2 linked regions of the Stegostoma tigrinum genome follow. The protein of the gene in region 1 purifies or fractionates together with the protein of each later gene. This does not show direct contact. Links are inferred from orthologs where the notes say so. Each region holds a gene or a part of one and is shown in the gene's direction. Other genes may lie near its edges.

The links. The genes of interacting proteins can lie anywhere in the genome.
Region 2: the proteins of xrn2 (region 1) and cdkn2aipnl purify together in Homo sapiens (co-immunoprecipitation; 6 studies listed by BioGRID and IntAct, with this or other methods). This does not show direct contact. The link is inferred for Stegostoma tigrinum from reciprocal best matches to the Homo sapiens genes XRN2 and CDKN2AIPNL.

The regions. Positions count from the first base shown.
Region 1 is NC_081362.1:13,334,453-13,342,330, reverse strand, and holds the start of xrn2 (5'-3' exoribonuclease 2), read left to right. Parts: upstream 1-4,878; 5' UTR 4,879-5,114; coding exon 5,115-5,189; intron 5,190-7,878. UniProt on the Homo sapiens protein: Possesses 5'->3' exoribonuclease activity. May promote the termination of transcription by RNA polymerase II.
Region 2 is NC_081366.1:30,321,832-30,329,645, reverse strand, and holds the start of cdkn2aipnl (CDKN2AIP N-terminal-like protein), read left to right. Parts: upstream 1-4,793; 5' UTR 4,794-4,873; coding exon 4,874-5,088; intron 5,089-5,601; coding exon 5,602-5,701; intron 5,702-7,814.

The DNA.
Region 1 (7,878 bases):
GTAACCTGGTAGAGGCTACGTATTTAGCATCTTTTCCCACCCGAGAAATGTCTCATGAGGCAGAGTTTGGAAATAAATAGAGCACTGGATATCATCCAACCTTGAATAATGTTACACTCTCTTGTAAAACTGTTTGGTAAAATTAGCCTTTTCATATGGAGGTGCTCGCATTTATGAATGATCACACAGTGAAAAATAAACTTTGGTATTAAGCATGGAACATAAATACAGGCCAGGCCCTATTATAATGCATTCACACTATAAAACCTTGGCGTTCATGAAAGTAGAGGCCGAAGGAACCCTGACATCTGTTGCCATCTTGGATGCTTTCAGAAATAAGCACTGCTTCAAACAGTACAACTCCTATCATCCTTGGGATATATGAAGAGGCTGTTCAACTCTGACGTGGTAGCCACTTAACCAGGTCTTACAGCTAAATTGACAGTTAAGCAAACATGAAGATGGGAAATGCATATATACATGAACAGATGTGAAGGTCTCTGGTGCTATCTATATGGCCTCATTGAGGGGCTTTCATCCTTACCCTCCCACTATATCTACGTAAAGTCCTGAGATCCACAGCTGGGTGGAGGGATTTTGTTTTCTGGATGACCTTTGGGTGACTGTCCCTGAGGATATTTATGGCTAGAGGGTCCATATATGTTGAGAATGTTCACCAGATGCAGACTCATCTCTCCTCAGTTTCAACTTCCATAGAGTTGAGAATCACAGGCAGCTGGAAAAACACCTTACTGAATCAAGAATAACTGACCTTCCCCTATCATGACTGTGCCTCAATGCCTCAACCAGATCTACACAGAGTACAGAAAGGTCCCAGTTGTAAATGCAGGCCCCTTACCCAATTACCTGTTTAGAAGATTATATTCACAGTTGAAAGTGCACTCCTTATCTCATCAGTGATAAAACAGCACCATGAACATACTACCTCTCGCACATCTGCCTGCATTCACTATTTAAACATAAGAGGTATAAATCTCAGCAGCTCATGTACCACCAGGTCACCAACCTTTCATCACAACCAGGAGACTGTAGACACCTAATAACTGTTCATCAATGACTTGATGGGACAAGGACGCAGCCACAAAAGATGGCCTTTTGAAGTGAGCCCCGTTATGAATTCAGGCAACTTTGCTGGCTTAACTAGGTTTGTTGACATCAACTAATGTGACTTCCTCTCTTGGGCAAGTTTGTTCGTCCAGTCAGGTAACCTCCCTAACACTTTTTTTACAACATATCAGACTGCTGAGAACGGAGATATTCACTCCTAAAAAGTAATTATGGAAAGAACCTTGCTTATGGATGAGTCGAGTAACAGAAAACATTTATGCTCTTTGTAGCTTAAAAGGAATTTACCTTGCCAGATATGTGCTTCATATATAAAGACAGGGTTGTGAAACATATTTCCCATTTTTTACCTCACAAGACTTCACTGGGGTTTTTAAAGCAGTAAAAGAGAACTATAATCTTCCATGTATGCAGCTGATTGAGAAATTGGCTGCTTCACAGATTGCTCCTGACGTGGACAATTAAAAGACCAGAATCATGAAAGAGAATGGGGATCTGAAGTCAGAACCTAAACCTGACAGTTCAAAGGTTGTGTTTAAAAATCGACATCTTCTTGGTGATGTATGTTGCCACAGTGAAACAAAGGTTCATTCCAAAATTGGATTAGAAAAGAAAAAGGAACTAAAATAAAAAAAATTCTGTTTTGATTTAGAGATTTGACTGAATGAAATCTGAAAGTCACAGGGATTATCTACAAGTCACACAGCATTGAAACAGACCTCTGAGTCCAACTCGAGCATGCCGGCCAGATATCCTAAACTGATCCAGTCCCATCTGTCAGTATTTGGCCCCCATCCCTCTAAACCAAATGACTGTGGGTTTCTTGGCAAATTGTCTCAGACTGATTTGACTGGGTGATCTAACCCAGCTGTGGAAACACTGACATTTCTTGACAGGAGAAAGGAAATTTACTCTGATGCATAACTGGTAGGCTTTGAGAGTTGAACGTTTCTCAGAAAGCCCCATTGTCAACATCCTGAGGGGCTACCATTGGCCAGAAACTGAACTGGACTACTCATATAGATACAGAGGCTACAAAAGGAGGTCACAGGTTAGGAATCCTGCAACAAGTTACCCGCCTTGAGGGCCCAGTTAAAGGGTTGCACGTTTAAAACAGAGATGAAGAGGAAATTGTCCTTTCTCAGAGGTTTCTGAATCTGTGGATTTCTTTACCACAAGAGTGCTGTGAAAGCTGGGTCATTAAATGTATCAAAGGCTGACAGTGACAGATTTTTAATTAGTAAGGGAATTAAGGGTTATTGAGAAAAGGCAGGAAAGTGGAATTAAGGATTATCAAATCAGCCATAATCTCACCGAATGGCATAACAGATTCAATGGGCTGAATGGCCTACTTCTGCTCCTACATCTTATTGTCTTATCCCTCACTGCCCTTCAGAAGATGGTGGTGATCCACCTTCTGAAAGCATTGCTGTTCTTGGGATTTCGGTGCTGGAGGGAATTCAAGGATTTTGACCAAGCAACAGTGAAGGTTTGTATTTCCAATTCAGGATGGTGTCTGACATGGAAGGGAACTTGCAGGTGGTCATGTTGTCATGCATCTTCTGCGTTTGTTCTTCTAGATGTTACTGACTGTGAGTTGGAAGGTGCTGCCTAAGGAGTCATACAACATATCACAATACGGCACAGAACTGTCCTTTGGCCCTTGACGTTGCAACAATCTGTGAACTAATCTAAGACCACCCCCCTACACTACACCTACAATGAGAATGCCATTCAATGTCACGGATTGGATAGTTGGTGAGTTAGATTCTCTCTTGTTTGAGGAGATCGTTGCCTGGCAGTTGTGTGGCATGAATATTGGGTTGAGTTTATCTCTGGTATGTACACGCCCAAAACACTAGCCATTTCTTGAACCAGCCACGAAGGTTTTCGGGTGTGCCTGCCTTCCACAGAATTTAATCATTATTTGTACGCGTTTTCTAACTCATTTTTATCTTACATCTCAGAAACTGCATATCCTTTGCCTTTATTTTCCATCGTATTGCTTCTATTCCAACTCTTGCATCTGTATGGCCATGTGGCAATTTCGTACGCATTCCTGCTTGTCATAATAAGATGTTCTCACTTCTAGATTCATGAAGACGTTAATCACATTTGCTATGTATTGGTGCAGCTGCCCCGCCAACGAAGAAAGTTGTAAACGAGAAGCAAAACAATTGTTGCCAAGAACTACCCGCGGGACATTTTTCACGACTGTGGTAACCTGCCAGCCTTAAACGAGAGAAAGAACTGCAGATGTTGGAACGGAGATAATAAAATGTGAGGCTGGATGAACACAGCAGGCCCAGCAGCACCTCAGGAGCACAAAAGCTGACGTTTCGGGCCTAGACACTTCTTCAGAGAGGGGGATGGGGTGAGGGTTCTGGAATAAATAGGGAGAGAGGGGGAGGCGGACCGAAGATGGAGAGAAAAGAAGATAGGTGGAGAGGGGCGTATAGGTGGGGAGGTAGGGAGGGGGATAGGTCAGTCCAGGGAAGACGGACAGGTCAAGGAGGTGGGATGAGGTTAGTAGGTAGGAGATGGAGGTGCGGCTTGGGGTGGGAGGAAGGGATGGGTGAGAGGAAGAACAGGTCAGGGAGGCAGAGACAGGCTGGACTGGTTTTGGGATGCAGTTGGTGGAGGGGAAGAGCTGAGCTGGTTGTGTGGTGCAGTGGGGGGAGGGGTCAAATTGGGCTGGTTTTGGGATGCGGTGGGGGAAGGGGAGACTTTGAAGCTGGTGAAGTCCACATTGATACCATTGGGCTGCAGGGTTCCCAAGCGGAATATGAGTTGCTGTTCCTGCAACTTTCGGGTGGCATCATTGTGGCACTGCAGGAGGCTCATGATGGACATGTCATCAAGAGAATGGCAGGGGTAGTGGAAATGGTTTGCGACTGGGAGGTGCAGTTGTTTATTGCGAACCGAGCGGAGGTGTTCTGCAAAGCGATTCCCAAGCCTCCGCTTGGTTTCCCCAATGTAGAGGATGCCACACCGGGTACAGTGGATGCAGTATACCACATTGGCAGATGTGCAGGTGAACCTCTGCTTAATATGGAAAGTCATCTTGGGGCCTGGGATGGGGGTGAGGGAGGAGGTGTGGGGGCAAGTGTAGCATTTCCTGCGGTTGCAGGGGAAGGTGCCGGGTGTGGTGGGGTTGGAGGGCAGTGTGGAGCGAACAAGGGAGTCACGGAGAGAGTGGTCTCTCCGGAAAGCAGACAGGGGAGGGGATGGAAAAATGTCTTGGGTGGTGAGGTCGGATTGTAAATGGCGGAAGTGTCGGAGGATGATGCGTTGTATCCTGAGGTTGGTGGGGTGGTGTGTGAGAACGAGGGGGATCCTCTTTGGGCGGTTGTGGCGGGGGCGGGGTGTGAGGGATGTGTTGCGGGAAATACGGGAGACGCGGTCAAGGGCGTTCTCGATCACTGTGGGGGGAAAGTTGCGGTCCTTAAAGAACTTGGACATCTGGGATGTGCGGGAGTGGAGTGTCTTGTCTTGGTGGCGGAGGCGGAGGAATTGGGAATGGAATTTTTGCAGGAGGGTGGGAGGAACGGGATTGTTGGAGAAATCCAGCACGTCTGGCAGACTCTGCAGAGACCGAAAAAGCAGAACTTACTCTTGTCAGTGGTCCTTTCAAAGTGGGGGTGGGGAGGAAGCGCATGGGGACGGTGACTTCCGGTCGGAATAACCTCTGACCTCCCGGTGACGCCATCAGGAAGTGACTACGCGGGTTACCAGGGGCGGGTGTGTTAGTGGGGTGGGGTCGTGTGGGGCGCTTGCCCTCCCATTGGTTGGAAGTGGGCGCGAGACGACCCGGAGGCCTTGGCGCGTGCGCGGTGCCCGGATTTCGCCCAGCCGCGCGAGAGGCGGCCCCTTCGCTCTCTCCCCTTCCCCCACCCAACGCTGCCGGACCCGGGAGAGAGAGAGAGAGAGAGAGAGAGACACAGACGGACGGAGAAGGAAAAAAAACATTCGGGAGAAGCAACAGTAATTGTGCCCACCCACCTAGCTAACCGATCCAAAGTACTAGGATGGGAGTTCCGGCCTTCTTTCGCTGGCTGAGCCGCAAATATCCGTCCATCGTGGTGAACTGCACGGAGGAGAAGGTGCGTGATGGCCGAGGCTGCGCGCTGGGCCGTGTGTGTGTGTGTGTGTGTGTGTGTGTGTATATATATGAGAGACTAGGCCTGAAGCCAACCCGCTGCTTACCCTCAAATCCTCCCTTCCTTCCCACTGTTCCTGTCCGTCGCTCTTGCCCCCCCCCCGATTCCCCCAAGTGTACAGAGGGAGAGGGTAAATGTGAAAACCTCAAAAGTAAGGTTTGTGTTTTCCCCTCCCCGTGAAAGCGATTGAGTCAAGTGAGAATGCGAAAGCCAGTGTCTTTTCTCTCTCCCGTGGTGCTCAGTTGGTGACTTTTACAAATTCAAATCTTCATATTGGCACGCATCAACGTTGGTAAATCGTTTCTGACCCATTGTTTTTAAACTGTCTGTAAAGGTAGAGTTTGAGAGTCCAGGATTACTCCGAAATTTTCCAAGTATTGTGATCCTCTCTGTAGCAGACTGGCGTAACTCTTTCTGCTAGCAATACCTCTACTTACGTAAAAAAACTTTGGTAAGGGTGAGATTCTTCATTAGGGGATCAAGGATTATGGGGAGAAGGCAGCAGAATGGAATTGAGAAACTCATCAGCCACAATCGAATTGCAGAGCAGACTCAATGCGCTGAAAGGCCTGATTCTGCTCCTATATCTTACGGTCCTTGTATTTTGTTTGCGGCAGAAGCAAAAGGGCTCGTAGGCTGCTGGTAGTTTGAAGTGCAAATGCTGACAGCAGCCTGTCTACAAGGAGGTGTAGAAAAGCAGTTAACAGGTAGCCAGTCAAAGGGGAAATTGAGATAACAAAGTGTGGAGCTGGATGAACACAGCAGGCCAAGCAGCATCTCAGGAGCACAAAAGCTAATGTTTCGGGCCTAGACCCTTCATCAGACCCTCCCTGATGAAAGGTCTGGGCCCGAAACGTCAGCTTTTGTGCTCCTGAGATGCTGCTTGGCCTGCTGTGTTCATCCAGCTCCACACTTTGTTATTTTGGATTCTCCAGCATCTGCAGTTCCCATTATCAAAGGGGAAGTTGAGTAGGTTTTGAACAAGGACGGAAAAGTGGAAAAGGGATCAGGAAAAGAACAAAAGGGGAGTTCTGTGACTGAGTCAAAATCAGGTGAGATTTAATGATAAGAGGAATGACGAAGGTGGGATGAGACGATAAGGGGATACATGAATGAAAAGCTACGTCTAGCAGGACTGTAGATAGGAATAGAAGAATCATCAATTGTTAGTGAAAAATAATATTGACAGAGTATGATCTGAAGTTGTGGAACTTGGTGTTCAGTTTAGGAAGTACAGGGCTGCTTAATTGGAACGTGGGACCTTTTTCTCTGATTGTAAGATCTGGACTTGTATTCCAGAGGCCGAGGCTAACTAATGATTTGTTGACATCATGTTGTATCCAACAGTTGATAGAATTTAAATTTAATTAAAGCTTATGAATTAAGCTTTCATCGACAGTTGTAGAAACTGAACACATTCACAAAGGATAATAAAGTGTGAAGCTGGATGAACACAGCAGGCCAAGCAGCGGAGGGCTGCCCGTTCTGCAGGGGAGAGGTTGGAGTGGGTGAGAGGGGTGGAGAGTTTGAGGCGGCTGATGTCTCGGCGGCAGTTGGAGATGAAGAGGTCGAGGGAGGGTAGGAGGCCTGCGGGTGGTGTCCAAGAGGAGGACTGCTGTCGAGACATTAACCGCCTCGACCCGTCCACCCCTCTCACCCACTCCAACCTCTCCCCTGCAGAACGGGCAGCCCTCCGCTCCCTCCACTCCAACCCCAACCTCACCATCAAACCTGCAGTCAAGGGTGGTGCAGTGGTAGTATGGCACACTGACCTCTACATCGCTGAGGCCAAACGCCAACTCTCCGACACCACCACCTACCGCCCCCTTGATCATGACCCCACACCCGAGCACCAAACCATCATCTCCAACACCATTCATGACATCATCACCTCAGGGGACCTCCCACCCACAGCCTCCCACCTCATTATTCCCCAACCCCGCACGGCCCGTTTCTATCTCCTTCCCAAAATCCACAAACCTGCCTGCCCTGGTCGACCCATTGTCTCAGCCTGTTCCTGCCCCACCGAACTCATCTCCACCTATCTGGACTCCATTTTTTCCCCTTTGGTCCAGGAACTCCCTACCTACGTCCGTGACACCACCCACGCCCTCCATCTCCTCCGGAACTTCCAATTCCCTGGCCCCCAACACCTCATTTTCACCATGGACGTCCAGTCCTTATACACCTGTATTCCACATGCAGATGGCCTCAAGGCCCTCCGCTTCTTCCTGTCCCGCAGGCCCGAGCAGTCCCCCTCCTCCGACACCCTCATCCGCCTAGCTGAACTCGTTCTCACCCTCAACAACTTCTCTTTCAGTTCCTCCCACTTCCTACAGACAAAGGGGGTGGCCATGGGCACCCGCATTGGCCCAAGCTAAGCCTGCCTCTTTGTAGGTTACATGGAACAATCCCTCTTCCGCACCTACACTGGCCCCAAAACCCACCTCTTGCTCCGTTACATTGACAATCGGCGCCGCCTCTTGCTCCCCAGAGGAGCTCGAACAGTTCATCCACTTCACCAACACCTTCCACCCCAACCTTCAGTTCACCTGGGCCATCTCCAGCACATCCCTCACCTTCCTGGACCTCTCAGTCTCCATCTCAGGCAACCAGTTTGTAACTGACGTCC
Region 2 (7,814 bases), on another chromosome or scaffold:
ATTTTATTTATTATTGTCATGTCTACCGAGATACAATGAAAAGTATTGCTTTGCGTGCTAACCAGATAAGGCATACCTTACATAAGTGCATCAGGGTAATAGAACAGAATGCAGAATGTAGTGTTACGGCTAAAGAGAATGCACAGAGAAAGATCAATTCTAACATACGAGAGTTAATTCATAAGTCTGATAACTGTGGGGAAGAAGCAGTTCTTAGACATCGGTGTAACTTGCTATCGTACAATACAATACATCTTGTTTATAACAAGAGCCGCTTCTCATTTAACTACCAAGTGGTTTTCCTCTATGAAAGAAGGCCAATCAGACAATGACTCCCTGCTGGGAAATACGATGATGGCAGAAAATCTACCACATGGCTCAAGATAACAGCAATCAGAAACATCTGATTGTAGAATAAGAGAGGAATTAAAACTGTAATTGTAGATGTGTACAGCCATCCTGATGGCAAAAATTGAATTGCGGCATTTATTAATTCAGAGAATAAAGAAATCTGTAGAAAAAGCAAAGTTGTTGTAATGGAACGGTTCACTTTTCATTTAGTTTGAAAAAAGCGGAGTAACTTCACTGAGAAAGACAATGAGTTTCTTAAGCATATCCGGTCAAATACAATGTTAGGTTTTAATAAGAGAAATTTGATATAGTTACTAAGATTTTAGGTTTTGATCAGGCTAACTTTAACAGGACAAGATAGATTCATCAGCTGAAGCTAGTTAAAATTGTTATCATACAAAGCTGCAAATGAACAATGGTTGGGGGTGGGGGGTGTGGGGTTTGCAAACAGTTTAATTTGTAGAACAACAATACATATCCTAAGCAGACACTATAGAGAGATAACATAAAATGAGTAAAGTGCAAAGAATACTGCAAATCTAATGAACTGCAAGAGCTAAAAAGTATAGTATAGGGCTACTGTGCCTTTAACTCAGCTGCTTGGACCACTGGTTTGCAATGTAGTTATAAGGGCTTTTATAGTATAGTGGTGTTGTACCTACCACTAACCCAGGATACCCAGACTCAAGTCTCACCTGATCTAGTGGTCACAATAATACCATTGAGCAGGTTGATTAGAAAATGTAAAGAAAGACAAAAAAAATGGTTTAAGAACCAAAGGGGAATGTGAAAAAAAAACTTGCAAGAAACATTGTAATGAAAACCAGGATATTGTAGACTTATTAGTCCAACATCTGTTCTAAGAAGTATTTGGGATGTATAACTAAAGACCCCTTGGCTGAAGATTTAGAGAAATTTGAGCTTCATAGACAGAGACAATATGAATTGAATAATTTAATTAACCTAGAGCCATTGTGTGGAATATGGGCAAAATATTGATGGCCTTAATCATTGTATGTTGGGAAGGGAATAAGTTTGGTGGGAAGGTGTTGAGTAGGGTCCACACTGCTATCCCACCTTTACCTGATTAAGTCCAGTGCATGAAGTCTTGTTGAAACCTTCCTGTAAAAACAATTAAGGTCCTTACAAGGGCAATTAGTGCCACCAAAGGGCATCATTGTACCACTATTAGTATTTAACATGGTAAGTAGAGTTGCAAAGTTGGGTAGTGTAAATGTGTTTGTAGAGGCAGGACATTGGAATTTGGTGTTTGCAAAAAATTGATGCTTGTAAAATGCTAGGGGTGGAAAGCATTGCATGGTCTCTTTAAAAAACGAGGTGCTTTTTCTATGCATAGAGATTCAAAATGGATGTTTGTGGGTTTGCAGGTACACAGAGAACCTGAATTAAAACATTTGTATCAAAAGGCTGAACTGGTAGCGGGCAAAGCAGCATTTTCACCAAGACAGCAGGGTCGAATTTAGTCAATTAATGTAACCAGGCCCTTCGATGCCAAAAACCAATAAAATTCAAATCTGAGATAGTAACAATTGCAGATGCTGGAATCTTAGATACCACAGTGTGGAACTGGAGGAACACAGCAAGCAAGGTAGCATCAGAGGAGCAGGAAAGTTGGCTTTTTGGGTTGGGACCTTTCTTCAGAAAATTTAAATCTGATAGATTTGACAACATAGGATCAATCCTATTGCGTGAAATTGAAATGTCACCAAGGCTATAAAAGATTAGAGCATTTGGACAACCAGGAGAGAGCAAACTGTTATCTGCTAAGGGAACAGCTCTCAGCTACAAAAGGAAGAATCGCTGGCTCTCACAGAATTCTCTAAACCTTAGAGTAAGATCCATCTAAATTATAGGTACCTACAGCACAAACAGTTAATCTTCATGACAAAAGAATTCGACAGAGAAGGCATTCCTGACAGAAGGATTCACCGAGGAAGTATTCCTAACGAAATAATTCATCAGAGAAGACACAGAACATTCTGGAAGACGTAACCAGAGTAATTTTGAGAATCTAAATTCTAATTTTTCTTTTGGGTTGGGATTGGGATAGCAGCAACACCCTCTACCCAAATAATTATTCCCTTCCAAACATACAATGAGTAAGGCCATCAATATTTTGCCAATATTCCACACAATGGTTCTAGGTTAACCAAAAAAAATGGTTGAGAACCCGACCCGAAACATTAAGCTTTTGTGCTCCTCTGGTGCGTCTTGGCTTGGTGTGTTCATCCAGCTTCACACCGTGTTATCTCAGATTCTCCAGCATCGGCAGTTCCTACTATCTCTAATTTTTCTTTACTTTGTTTTGTATAACTTGGTCTTGTATTTATTGGAACAGCATACCACTAGAATCTTGTTTCATTTGGAAATAGTTGGCAGTTAGACGGGAGTTGTTTGGTTTGTCAATAGTTCAGTTGTTTTGTTCGCTGTTAGAGTTAGATAAATAAATTGTTAGTTGTTGGTTATAGAGTGAGAGTCAGGAGTTTATTTCAGGTAACCACTCCTTTATAACAGATTGGGGGTGAGAGGCAAGTTATACTACTTTTCACACTTCTTTTAACAGATTATAGGGCGAGGCAAACCTTTCTGGTGTTTTGATGTTAGTTATCAGAGAGGGGTGGACCTCTGCTTTATAACAGTAGATAGACGGAAAAACAAGCTCTGTCAGGTTTGTTTGTCAGCTACAGTAGGGTGGTGGTGTTCCCTCAAAACATAATCAGTGCCTAATCAAAGAATGTAGCATCATCGTCTGAGACACTGCTGCTTCCCACACAGCCTGCACCTCCCCTCGTGGCACGGTTCCTTCTTCAATCCAACCTTTTGCTGGCTGCATTACTGGCAACAACCACGACATGCTGATGGGTAATGGGTAGCTGCCAGCCTCTAATTGGTAAACAGATTTCAAGGAGTGAGATTTCTACCCTCTGAGTCCTAAATCTTGGAAAGACCAAATGCTGGACAGTTAAGTGCTTGACGAACACATAATTCCAGCAGGCCTTCCCCAATAGATCTAACTGAATTACCCTAGCCAGTGTGCAAGAGTGCCATCAACAACATAAAATTTTAACCTTTGAGTTGTTATGTTATAAGGCCATTCAACACATTGGGTCTGTGCTGCTATCTGTAGATTGTCCACAGTCCCATTTCATCACTGAATCTTCAAAGGCCTGTAATTTGAATACACCAGAGCCAATGCAATTTTCTTTTGAAGCTATTCATCTACCCTGCTTCCAGCATATTAGACAGCAAGTTTCAGGTCATTACGATTTGCTCTTCTTTACACTTCTCCTCTTACACTTCTCTCAAACCACTTAAGAATTAACAACACTCAAAATTAGATATTTCAATTGTAAGCAACCTCCTTCAGGCTCTTGTGACGCTAGAGGTCGGTGACTGCCCCCGGTCAGTGTACCATCAGCTGATGGGAACAGTTTTCCTTTATCGACTTTATCTAATTCACAATCTTGGACACTTCTATTAAATCACACTTCAACCTTTCAGAGTCAGAAGAAAAAGACCCTTTGGTGTAACTTGTCCATGCCAACCAATTTTCCAAAACAAAACTAGTCCCACATGTGTGTGTTTGGCCCATATCCCTCTAAACCTTTCTTGGTCCTGTCCCTGTCCAAACAACTTTTAAATGTTGTAGCTGTACCTGCATCTAACACTTCCTCTGGCAGTTTATTCCACACACAGAAAAGGTTACCCTTCGCATCCTCTTCAAATCTTCCTTCATTTTCTAAAGGATAAAACTCTATTTCTCCAATCCAAACTGCTGGCTAAAACTACTCACTTCCAGAACTGTTCTGGCAAATGTCCCCTACCCCTCTGGCCAGAAATTCACTTCTTTAGCAGATGAAATGGTAGACAGGTAAACGTTTCTATGGATATAGCCTTGTAAATAAACTTTCAGAAAGAAAGTTTCCATTTAAGAGCCTGATAGTTTAAAAGAACTCTTAATCGAAAGCAAATTATTAGCCTGGTTGGTGATCGGTCAGGTATTTTTAATAATGTGGACATGCTGGGGTTGGACTAGGTTGGCCAAAATCACAAGTCACAGGACATCAGGTTATAATCCAACAGCTTTATTTGAAATCACAAGCTTTCGAAGCACTGCTACCTCAGATGAAGGTATTTTTAAATTAGTAAATTGGAGATAGCAAGAACTATGGAGTCAATACAGTGTGGAGCTGGAGCAACACAGCAGATCAGACTCAATAAATAAGTCCATGGACGCTGGCCATCCTCCTCTGCTCCAACACGGACACCAAGTGGGTGAGCCGACTCTCATCCCGCTCCTGCCCCGCCCATACCCCGTGGCCCCGCCCCATACCCCCCGCGGACACGCACTGTCCTTTCCCCGCCCCCCAATCATCGTCGCCACTGCGGCTGCGCCCCTCCACTTCCCCACCCTCCCACCCTAGCCGCGGCCCCGCCCCCACCGCCCGGAGGCCCGCTCGCGGTGCCTGCTGGGAGTCGTTCCCGGTGCCCTTTCAGTAAGATGGAGGAGTCGGCTTTGGACGATTTTCTGAAGAGGAACCGGGAGATGGCGGATTGCAGTTTGGAGCGGCTCCGGGGCCTATCCGAAAGCGACAAACACTGGACGGCGCGGAGGAGCTTTCTGGTCCGGAACTTGTCCGATTACCCGCGGGATCGCCTGGATTACTTGGTCGCCCTATCCATGGTCTGGGCCAACCATGTCTTCATGGGTTGCCGGTAAGTTGGGGTGGGGAATGCCGGGGCTTCGCTCAGCTTCTGAGCCCCTTCTAGACCGTGGGGCACCCCGGGTGGATGTGCGGTTCTCTTCAGATATCTCTGAGCAGCGAGGCTGCTGCTCCCTAGATGGGTCAGGTGCTTGGCTACGCAACGAGACCGGTTATAGGCCTGGAATAACGGCCTCTTTTCCAGCACTACCCCAGCCACAGGGGTTGGGAGACAATCCAGTTCCCCTCGCCCTTGGGATCACTGAGACAGAGATTCAGTGGGAACATATAACGTTGTCATATCTCTGTCAGGGACAGGACTTTCTTACCCCACTCAGGCTTCGAAAAAGCCATCGTGTCACGCATGCTGCAAGGTCTGATTGTATTTTCAAAAATATTTGTAAAATTACGGCCCAGCGTTGCGGGTTGAGTAGAATGCAATCTTCTCTCTTCTTCCTCCTTTCCCCTCCCCCGAAATTATTCACCGAGATTTGCTGAATGTAATTTTCTATAATATGTATTTTAGTTATAGTGATCAGCTTATGGAAAAGGTTTTGGATATGGCAGATGGAGTTCATGTAGAAGATGCACCGCATTTCACCACAAGAGATGAAATAATGACGCAGGTATTGTACAATAACGGCACAGATTTACAACAATGAAGGAGCCCTGCAGCCTAGCTAGTCAGTGCCAGTAAAAGAAAGTGTCTAATTCCAGGGTCTAGGCCCGAAACGTCAGCTTTTGTGCTCCTGAGATGCTGCTTGGCCTGCTGTGTTCATCCAGCCTCACATTTTATTATCTTGGATTCTCCAGCATCTGCAGTTCCCATTATCTCTCTCTCTCCAGTTTCCAGCATTTGTTACAGCACTTCAAGTGCATATCCAGGGTTTCTTTCAAAATGCAGAAGTTTCACTTCTCCTACTTTTACAGGTGCATGTAGATCCTCATCATCTTTTGGATGTAAACATTTCCCAACAACTTCTCTCTCATCTTTCTGTCAACTACTTTGAATCTGTGCTTCCTGATTATTGACCCCTCTCTGCTGACAGACAAAAGTTCCCCCTTATCCACACTGCCTAGGCTCCTCATAAATTCTATATATCTGTTCAAATATCCCTTCAGTGTCTCTGTTCCACTAACAGGCTGTTCTGTCTACAGACAAATGTGCTATGAACCATTTGTCTAAATGTTGAAAATATGGGTAAGTGGAAGTGACAGATCTGCAAGGAACTGATCTTCCAATTGCATGCCGTCCCTTGCTGGCATTCAGTGAATTTATCAGAAGAAATATAGGAGAGAAACAATCTGTGATTGGCAGAGCAATGAGCACCATGAAGCTAAGTCACTTATTTTGCTTTTATAGCCATTTCCTTCCCACATAATTGCTGGCCATAAAGCAATACAGGGCTCAGTTTAGTGAAAAGGGTTTGGAGGCCAAGAGGAACCAGAGGCCAGAGGTTGAGTTGAAGTTTCTGACAGTACTGAGGAAACATGTCGTGTCACCTTTCAGCCTTCCTAAATGCCTTATCAGTGGTAAAAAGTACATATGTCACTAAGAATGAGTGAGCCTGCTGAGAGTGACTGTAGGTGTGCGTGTAAACCCTGAAACTGGAAGTGAGTTGGAGATGCACACGGTTTTTCCCGTCCTTCCTCCCTCCCTCAGAACCTATCTGGAAAGCAGGCCAGGAGAGAGAGAGAACTCTTCCAGGTCAGTTCAGAGTGTTTGCCTCCAGAGGCAAATACAAGATCAATGATAATTAAATTCAACTCCCTAGCTCAGCCCCAGTCTCCAGCTGCTTACCTGGTAATCAGGACTAGGGCCTATCCTGCCTCTGGTTCGCCTGCATTGAAAAGGCAAAATACATTTTAGCGTTTAAACGCTGTGCTGCTTGTTACTTTTGGTGGTCATTTTTATTCATTTTTTTAAAAAACTGATAAATTTATTGACTGTTTCCTGGAAATTCATATTTGAGGTTACGCCAAACGTGATCTTTAGCGATCTGTACATAGGCACCTTGCCTGAGGAAAAATGAAACATGGCCTATCATGTGAAAAGATTGAACAACCAAGCTTTTGTTTTGAAAGCTATGTAAATGTGTGATTGTTGAATGTTCTATGGAGCTTCTTTTCAAAAATTCAACTGTTCTCTATATTAAATATTTCAAATTGACAGTTTTAATGGTAACATCCCCAATATATTTATTCTCTAGTCACTTTACAAAGATCTGCTTAATATTAAAAATCTGATCATCTCATGACCTTTCCAGTCCATTAGAATTTTGTGACAGATTTATAATAGAATGTGTTTCACACCATTAATTTTGTTCCTACAACCTGTTGAACATTTTATCTTTCCAATATAAAATTATATTTGAAGTAGTTGTATTTTAATAGACTTACTTATATGTCCATTTGCCAATGTCCAGTTACCTGATCACTTTAGTTTTAAATCATAGAATATCTACCGTGTGGAAGTAGCCCCATCAGCCCACACTGACCCTCCAAAGAGCATCTAACCCAGACTTATCTACCCTATCTGTGCATTTCCCACTCTAGAAACTATGGGCAATTTATCATAGCCAGTCCACCTAAACTGCACATCTTTGGACTGTGGGAGGAAACCAGAACACCCAGAAGAAACCCACGCAGACGTGGGGAGACTCCAAACAGACAGTCGCCCAAGGCTAATCGAACCTGGGTCCCTGGTGCTGTGAGACAGCAGTGCTAGGCACTGAGCCA